Drosophila melanogaster: one gene and its partner. The protein of the gene in region 2 purifies or fractionates together with the protein of the main gene of each other region. This does not show direct contact. Each region holds a gene or a part of one and is shown on either strand. Other genes may lie near its edges. The genes, in order: CG10916 and CG13323.

Region 1 (4,808 bases), 5.1 Mb from region 2:
GGTACAATCAGAGCCCCACGCATGCAGGCGGTGGTCCTCGATTCCCGCGTTACAGCAGCCAAAGCAGTTTGGCCAGCGAAGCGTCCAGCTCGTTTGATCGTCGCCAACAGACATCGCCACAAAATCCACATCAGCATCAGCACCAGCGGCACCGCCATTTCACACGCCGCTCCCAGCCAGACATCCATCAGCCGCAGAACGAGGAGAACTGGCAGGGGCAGGCGGATAAGGGCCAACCACCATCCGGAAAGGAGGAAAGCGAGCTGGTGCGGAATGCCCAGCAGACCACTCAGTACATGAACTATTTGTCGGCCCAGAAATGAGTTTATACACTTTACGAAGTCATCCACATGTACGAAAATTGTTTTTGAAGTCCGTTTAGAAGTTATTTGTTTCGCCTTCGTATATGTTTCCTAATGGATGTGTATATCCACGTAGACTGTTTTCACATTATTTTGTCTTCAACTGAGCTCAAATGTTAAACCAATACAAAACAATTTAGACCAATCACAAAACAAATCCATCTCAAATCCAGGCTTAAAGAATATTAAGCATGCATGCATTACACATTGGAGCCACTAAATTTGTAAATACCAATTATATATATATGAATGTCTTGTGTAGTCCCACACAACCACGCCACATAAACACTCCCACACAAAATACAGTCACACACACTCATTTTTATATTTATATATACAAATTGCTTAGAAACTAAGTACAAAGTCAATGAAAAAACAAAAATAATCCTATTTCTATTGAAAAGTAAAACGCCTGTTGGTGAAATGTTAAAAGCATGTTGAACATATAAAAATTTGTATTTTTAGCTAAATATATACTTATATATTAAATGTCATGTTATAGTGCAGGTTCAGCCGATTTATTAAACGAATTATACAAGCTTACGTATTTTTAAAGCAAATTTTGTGAGGCCCTCTGTTGGAACAACAAAGCCAAGCCGGAGTGCAGAGAAAAACATGAATTGTAGAGTTATACGAGTAGTCTTATATAGATACTTAAACCTCTTTGTTTAGGTATAATCAATATGTTCGCAACATGCGTAGGTTCAAAACACTAATCAGCATATAAATAGCGTCTAACACATTTTTAATAAAACAAAAAAATTGCATTATCATTAATCAAACATTAAAACAAATTCTTTTGAAAACTTTTGAAATCACCAGCAGAATGTCATAGTCTTACCTCCGTATTTACATCACCTGATTGGATGAATGTATTTTCCGAATCCTTGTGGGTGACTCCCCTCGTCTTCTGCGTTTCCACTTTCCAGAACTTCTGTGGGCAACTCTCGGTTGTGCATACTTTACAAAAGCGATAGTAAGAAAGCTTTAAGACCGCAGTTTTTATTAATCTTGCCATTTTGAAGACAGTTGGTCCGTTTTAGATACAATATACAAAAAACCAAGATTTCCGTTTATCGTAGGCATTGATCAAGTCAAGGTCAAAATATTTTTAAACCCGTGTCTAGTCACAAACATCTTCACTTTCCAAACTATTATAAAGAATTGCATACTTGAGGGCAGCAAATAGCAGACTAACTTATACATATGTATATGGGGACTTTTATTTGTACATAATTTGCTGGCAGTCAAAACAAAGTTATCAATTTTTCGCTTGATTAAAGAAATTGGGGACAAATCTTGGCTTACTGATAAGCGAATTTAAAACAAGTACAGAAATAATAGATCCGATTTTTTTCAAAAATAGAATAAGACGTACATATGTATTTATAACACAGATTCATACAATAAGGCATAAGAGATTTAAGATATCAGCAGCATCATCGATCTGCCTGGTCACGTGGGGTGACCACCAGGACTTCGTAGGTGTTTACGCTCACCTCTTGACCATGATGCGGGATGTACATGACCTTGTGGGAAGGATGCACCTTGCCCAGACGCAGGATACCCTGGTAAAGACCACGACCCGTGTAGGTGACCTCACCCAGCTCGGAGTAGCCCGTGTTCAGAGCATCCCGCGGATATGTTCCATGCTGTCCGGGCACCCACTTGTAGTCACAGTCGTTGAGCACCAGGATCTCGACATCATCGGTCAGAGTTCGGGCGCTACAGCTGTGCGAACCGAAGGCAGCCTTCTTTTCCGGTACATAAGGAGCAGGCAGGAGATCGTCGTGGTAATATCCTCTGGCCACATACGTGGGCAGTCCGTCTTCGTTGGTGCCACACTGCACAGCTCCCTCGGGCGGCAGGTGGGCATCCGGTAAGCTGTCTCTGTCCAGATCAATGGGCACCCAATCCATGGCCACCTTGGGCAATTCGGTGTCATCGAACTCCGGGGCCTCGGCGAAGTTTAGGTACAATCGGTGCACGCGTCGTCGGTCGCATGGGTCTCTGCATTGGGGGCAGGTCCTGGACCTATTCAGCCATCGGGTGAGGCAGTCCTTGTGGAATACATGACCGCACCGTGAAGTTGAGAAAATTATGTCGTTGGCCCGGAAAAACTCGTTGCAAATTGCACATAAAATGTTCAGTGAAGGTGATGAGTCATTTGTGGGTGCAGTTTCTGCGATTTTTCCGCCGTTACCTTCCATTTCACTACTATTACTCTCCATAACTACGTCCCTATGGATACTGAGCTTTGAATATGTGTGGCTCTATTCTTCTGTTCCAAATTTATTTCACAACAATGAGCGGAAAACGAAACGATTCGTATCAACTTTCCTGCTTTATTAGAGATGACCTCTGGAGAATACCAAATATACTAGAAATACTGTTATTTTAATAAGTTTGAATCTTGATTGAAAATAATCCTTTAAATATCTTATAGCATTAAGTAAGTAACATTTATATTAAGTAACATTTATATTAGCGTCTTAATCATAACTCTATTTTGGCTAAGATAATGTACTGTGCTATCATTTTGTGGTTATCTACTGGATCTTTACTTTGTATTAAAGTAGCGTTTCAAACCTGCACCAGTACTTCGTTGGTGCCAACGTTAACCTCTTGACCGTGCTGCGGGATGTACATGACCTTATGGGAAGAATGTACCTTGCCCAGACGCATGATGTCCGTCCTCGTTAGTGCCGCACTGCACTGCTTCCTCGGGCGGCAGGTGGGCATCCGATAAGCTGTCTCTGTCCAGATTCATGAGCAGAGGGTGCTCGGGAAAATCCCTGTTATTCTTGTGAGTCAGAGGACAGGCTTTTAACCGGGTACTTCTGCGAACAAGTTCGTCGTGAATGCACCTGTGGCCCATTGTCTGTTCGGGAATTAGTTTCCGAATCCGGTATGGCGATGGGTCATTTGTGGGTGCTTCTCAATTTTCCATTTCTTTGCTGTTACCATCCATATCTGAATCCCTTTACACACTGAGCTTTAAATACGTATGGCGCACTTGTTTTATTTTAAAATTAACGGATACGAGCTTTATAGAGATGGACTTTAAGTAGTGCCAGAAATACTGTTATTTTTATATTTCGTAAGTTTACATGGATCTCAAACGCTTATAACATTTAATTTCAAACTTTTTGCTAATATTTAGGTCTCAAGGTTTCAGAACAATTTTGTTTTATTTTGTTATAGATTTTTACTAAATAGACTAATTAAAGTGTATGCCAGTTGTTAAACAAATGTATTTCATAATCAGGAAGTCAAATATGTAATGTATATATATAATAAATTTGGATTTTATAGCTAAAAACTAATAAAAGGTTCACCTGTGCTCAATAATAGTTTCAAATACTGTTCAGGTCATTTTTAACACAAGAATTTATAAATATTTAAAATTAGCTATCGATAAGTGGCACCAGGTACTTACGATACTCAACCGATCTGGCAACGACGCGCGGTACGTGGCTTCGGGACACGGAAAACAATTTTACGGGAAAAGCTAAACAAATTATGTACAATTCGCAATAAATCCGAAAAGATATAGGGACAAACACCAGACGGAGAAGAGGAGCACAAAAGGCTGCATGAACTGTAAGTGCCAAGGACCAGATACCCGTTTCTTTTTCTGCGTTCACCCGTATCCTTTCACTTTTAATTGCTAAGTTCAACATACAACTACAAATGGATATTCAGCTGATTTACAGCTAGTGCGGTTTCTCAATGGCTCAAATTATGTTTCCCAAACTTGCCGCCACTCCAATGGAAACAAGTTAATGTGCGCATAATATGCAAATTTTCTGTTTGTTTTGGTTTGCCAAAATACAAACAATACATACATATGTACGCAAGTACATAGTACATATCTATGTTTGGCACACACACTGACGCATTAACTGCGCTCTTTGTTTGCCGCCTATAAATAAACGCCAAAAAATGCGTACGAGATTATGCCATTTGTTGCTTTTCAGCTGTGCTTTGCGTACGTCAACAAAGCTTTATTATATAAACAAATACAAAACGGCAATCAGCTGTTTCTAACAAAAAATAAACGGTTGAATAGCCTTGTCATTATCATTGTTTATTGTGCTTTGCCATAGATATATGTATGTATGTACAATGGCCATTTCACTATTAAACGAAATTATTAGAACGGCTAATTAAACTCTCTATCTTTGGCTCTCTTGTGTCTTCTTCCAAGCCCCTCTTTTGAGATATGCACATAATTGACGCAAATATTGCATCATGCGTTTCGAGGATTCCCCTCATTTATTTCACTATATGTATTCATTTGCAGTATTGCTTAAATATGTTTTGAATAATTAAGTTACGAACGTTTAAACAAATAAAATCATTATATATGTATGTATATTCGTGCATATTCTAAAGAAAAAGAATTAGGGAATTCTTGCGATTTCCTGGAACTCTCTTCCTGCG
Region 2 (5,053 bases):
TCCACCTGCCAGCTAAAATAATCACAGCTCAGATTGGTTTGCCAAATTGCTATTTATTAAAAATCAATGCTGCTGGCCACCGCCGGCCAACGTAATCGCAATGGACGGCGACAACGCCAGCAACAGCAAATCAGCAATTTCAGCAGCCTTAACAGCCTGTCCGACACCCTTTTATGTCGTGTCCCTAGGACACCACCTGCCACAAACCCCGGCCACACTGCAAGAAAACATGTGTCATCTTATGAAAATAATATTTTTTTAGCTTACCTATACATACACGAAAACATATCCCTCGGGCGACAGGTATTTCATTTTAACAAAATTGCACTTTTCATATTTCTCTTTGAAGATTTAAAAGTATTTATTTAATATATATAAAAAAGTTTATAAGTTTAAAGTCAATTTAATAATCAACTTATATGCCTGCAAGGTATAAATTCACTAAATTCAATATTAAAATAGTGCTCCCTTTTATATTTCACTGCCATTAAGATAGTTAAACCAGTTCAAGTTACTATCTTTAACCTGCAAAAGAGGTTGTAATGATAGGACCCCATTTGGACTTCATTTTTATCTGTGCACCCCGGCAGTGTCCTGTCCACGTGGCAGGGTGAGCCGCAACACTGGACAACACAATCGCCGGCTGGTGTGAGACAGTTGCTGCTAATTGAAATCCCATTTGAGGCGGGTATTTTCGATGTTCCACAGCCACAGCGGCCAGTGTAAGCAGATGCCGACGCTTGTCCTTGCAGCGCCAGACATATGCCACACCCCCAAAAGCGAGTGGGGGCGTGGGGGAAGACCGAAGGCGGTGGGGTTCCGGCAGGAGCTGTTCCAAGCAGCTGCCATTGCTGTCGCTGCTGGTTTTCGGTCGACATTTCCGGGCAGTCCGAAGTAATTGCTCGGCAAGCTGTTGCCGCTGATGGCTAGATGGGAAAGGGGGAAGAGGGGTAAGTGGAGCTGGCAGGACACAAGGTCCTGGCGTCTGGATGAGTGCCGAAGTGGGGGAGTGTGTGTGTGTGTGTGTGTGTGTGGCAGGCTGGTTACCCGGGGACACCGATGTAGTGGTCAGCTTAGCCGGCAAGCGGCTTACGTTGGGCATTTCGTTGTGACGGCCACGCGGCGTATGAGGAATGTCAAGTGAATGCGCCCGGAAGCGAAATTCGGCAGTCGCATTTGGCAGTTCTTAAAGTTAGCACACAGCACACAGAGCAGCAGGACAAATCGAATTCGGATGCACCATCTCCTGCTGCTGCTTTTCTCTCTCTGCTGCTGCAGTTACGTGACTTTTTGGGGGGCAATTTTTTATCGAACGACTTTCCCTTTGGCGGGGGGGGGGGGGGGATGAATCACAACCGCCAGCTGTATCCGTAGCCGTAGTCGAAGCCGTGGCCGTATCCGTAAACATATCCGGATCCGGGGCTTTGCATCGCAGCCGAACGGCCGCGCTTTGCATATTAACTAAGTGAAACATTTTCGTTGACAACTTTTCAAACATTTGTGCACCCTGTGCAAATGTTTACCGCCACCTCGAATGGCGGATGGGAGGTAGCTATCCGAATCTGTAGCCTCAAGACGTTTAAAATTGAAATTTAAATTCGATACATAAACTACGGAAATAGGAAAGCGGAGAAAAGAGAAAAGGGACTGCGGCACATCCTTTTGACCGTGCAGCTTAACATATCGACCCCCCTTCGGTTTTTTTTTTGGGGCTGCTTTTGGCAATTCGAAATACAAATTTTACACCATCCCCGGGAATCAAATGAGCCAAGGCCAATAAGTCTGTCGCCCCTTCGCTGGGCTCCAGTTTCCCTCTTTTTCTTTGGCATCTTTTTTTTTTTTCTTTTTGTGCTGGCTAAGCCCTCTAGCCCTTTTAACAGTCTGTCTGGGCCTCACAGGATTTGTGGCCAGTAGTCCTATACCCAGCCTTAATTTCGATTTACTCTTGCCAACACACACACCTACACACACTCACTGATGTTTATTAAATATTGAATGTTTTCCTTTGCTAGATGACTATGCCTCTGGCGGGCAAAAAGGAAAAGTTTCCTCGGGCGCTCCACTTTCATCCTTTGTGCCGGGCAGAATCCAAGGGAAAATTCTAAACTTGCACGGAGTTTTTGGGGATTGGCCCAAGGCTAATATGCGATTATGCAAAGTCCGGCAGATATAGATACATCAATATGCTATTCCCATTGACAGCACACACTGATAAAGATAACCACCGATTTATGTTTGAATATGATAGACTCTTGGCGATTTTCACTTTGTGCACTGAACTGTTAAGGGCAAACTTTTTTGTTATTAAATATTTACTATCATGTCTACTTTATCTTGATAATTGCCTTTTTTTTACATATCAATTCCGCCTTTTATATTTACTTATAAGCCATTTGTTAATAAAAAAGTGAACTTGCTTTTTTAACTGATTAGATACACGTGGGTAAGCCGGAAATTATTTTGTTTACTTCAGAAACACAGTCTTATTGGTATTAAAAGCTGTTGGTTTAAGGTTTTTGCAATTAATGAAAAAAGCGCCTTGTTTAATACTGCCATATATATGTATGTATTTTACTGTATTCTTTTATTTGTTAAGATTGAGGATTTAGCTTTGAGTTGCGTAAGAAACATGTTTCAGTTGATATCCCAGCGACTTTCAGTCGGTTATAACAGATTCGTTTGATCACTTAACGACCCCAGATCTCGACGGTGGAGTTGATTCCGCGGTTCACCTGACCACGAAGATTCACGGTGGCGAAGCGATAGCCCGGACCGCCGGAATAGAGGCTAGGAGATGCGCCGGAGTTGTTCTTAAAGTTGTCGTAGACGATCACGGCGGAGATGTTGTAGAATCCGGCGGGATAGTTCACGTTCACGTTCCAGTAGTTGTTCTTGATCGGATTGCGGACTTCCGTGGTGCGGGACAGCAGGTAGTCGTTGTTATTGCGACGCCCCCAGGTGGCGCCGTAGGCGTGGCAGCCAAGGATCACGGCCAGGACAACTGAGAGGATGAGCAGAAGACGCATGTTGAATGTTTCGTTTCGACGTTCTTGTATCGTTTGATAGTAACTGCTGCGAATGGCCAAGCTTTTATATCGCTTCGCATGACTAAGGCAATGTTTACAAAAGCGCTTCGCTTTTAATTAACTTCTGTTACAGGGCGGACTTATCGCAGCCCATGAGGTGGGGCATGGGGGCGAGAGTCTGGCAAAAAAGGCCCAATAGCGCGAAACGAAAGTAAGGTATACGAAACCCCCCGGCAATCAAGTGGCCGCGATAAGATTACCTGACTCACGCCAGCGGTTGTGCAAAACAAGGTGGCTTCTAAAGTTTTTGGCCAGCCTTCTAGGAAAAGATTTGGCGGGCTTATCACCGAACGCTAAGCCCTCCATACAGGAATTGAAGATCGGAAAGAAATCTCAGCTGCAGATTTCAACTTATAGATACTGGGTCTTGATTGGTAGCACTCGGACTTCTAAAGTTACCGAGGGCCATCTAATCAAAGTTTTCCATAGAAAAAACAATCGAATGCGATACATTCAGTTATTAGTCAGAAATTGATTTTCCTCGAAACTCTCATCAAGTGGCTTGCACTGACAAATTTTCACTCATTAGTTTGGCAAACAAAATCGAAATGCTTTGCTCTATAAATAATCCATAATCTAATGTAAGCCAATATATGCAAATTGGCAACGAACCAAACTTTCTGAAGCTGTCAATAGTTTTGTATATTGATTAATCAACTAGAGAGGAATGTGAATGCATAAGCAATTAAATTATGGCTAAGTAATTAAATTGTGAGTTATACGAGCAACATAAGGCTTGGCTGATGGAGAATTCATTGAAATTATAACATGGCCAAGACAAGTGTCTGTCGATTTAAGCCATGATTACGTCGGACATTCCTCACGACGCATCGCCTTTTGCCCACAAAAGTGTCGAATAGCGAACTTTTAATCATCCCTAATGTAATCCAACTTAAGCTGCCTGCTGTCATTAGCATTGTTTGAACTGGAACTCGCAGCTACTTTAATTAAGTCCAGAGATTATTCCATTCATGCCGGTGGCATTGCGTTCGTGGAGTTGGTTAATCTGCTACGGAATGCATTCGTGGAATCACAGCTCCACCGCGATCCTTGGGGGGTGGCATCCTTATCGCCTGACACACAAATCGAGCTGCTGGTCTCATCCTGGCTGCATATTTATTGCGAATTACCACGGCTAGCAGTCACTTGGTTTGGAATAAAATCTCATTACTTGCAGCAGCCGTGGCTGATGAGGGTGGACGTATTTGTCACTTATGAAAGGGATAATTCGCCACGCTCCCAGGATGTTTGCTACCCCCCACCCCTCCACCCACCACCCCCTAAAAAAAAGAACAAAAAACCGAAAAGGAACCCCACAATGACAACTGAAAGATACAAAGCAGCCAGAAATGCCTGAGGGAATGTCGGCGAAGCATTTTGTACCCACTGCCATTGCCATTATCCGATTGCAGTCTGTGCTGGCATTTTGTGCAGCAACTTGTTAATCACATTTTATTGACACATCGCCGACTCTCGGGGGAATCGATTTCCATTTTTAAATTGGCCAAATTAAGGGCTGCTTTTGGCCTTGCTGGGCCCCCCCATTTCAGTTTGGCTGCTACATGCGCTCGCTTGATAAGCAATTTGTTGTGGACTCACCCGAACATGAAAGACATACACTACAAGAAAAAGTTGTATCTAACAGAATTAGGTTTCGAATTAAAGGTGCAAATGTTTGTAAATTTTCTATATACGTGCAATTCTAGCAAGTCTGGTAAGCAGTAACATAACGATAAGAACCTAACCAGAAAAAAAAACAACAAGCGCAGGGTTTTATCTAAAAAGATCTTTTGATCTTTGTTTATACTTATTTTGCTTATACTTTGATACCCTGTGTTAACCATTCCTTTAATTAAATAAAATAATATTGCTTAGAACTCTTTCTTTATTGATTGATTCCATAGTTTTGCTTTCTCAATTTCTTCTCAAGTATAATAAAATTAATCATGTTTGCCATTTCATATTCG

Evidence for each region.
Region 1: the proteins of CG13323 (region 2) and CG10916 purify together in Drosophila melanogaster (affinity purification with mass spectrometry, with the first as the bait; one large-scale study listed by BioGRID). This does not show direct contact.

The regions. Positions count from the first base shown.
Region 1 is NT_033778.4:18,171,595-18,176,402, reverse strand, and holds CG10916 (uncharacterized protein), read right to left. Parts: upstream 2,735-4,808; 5' UTR 2,594-2,734; coding exon 1,802-2,593; 3' UTR 678-1,801; downstream 1-677. Other genes in the region: CG5726 (uncharacterized protein), read left to right, coding at 1-323.
Region 2 is NT_033778.4:13,044,191-13,049,243, forward strand, and holds CG13323 (uncharacterized protein), read right to left. Parts: upstream 3,067-5,053; 5' UTR 3,027-3,066; coding exon 2,688-3,026; 3' UTR 505-2,687; downstream 1-504.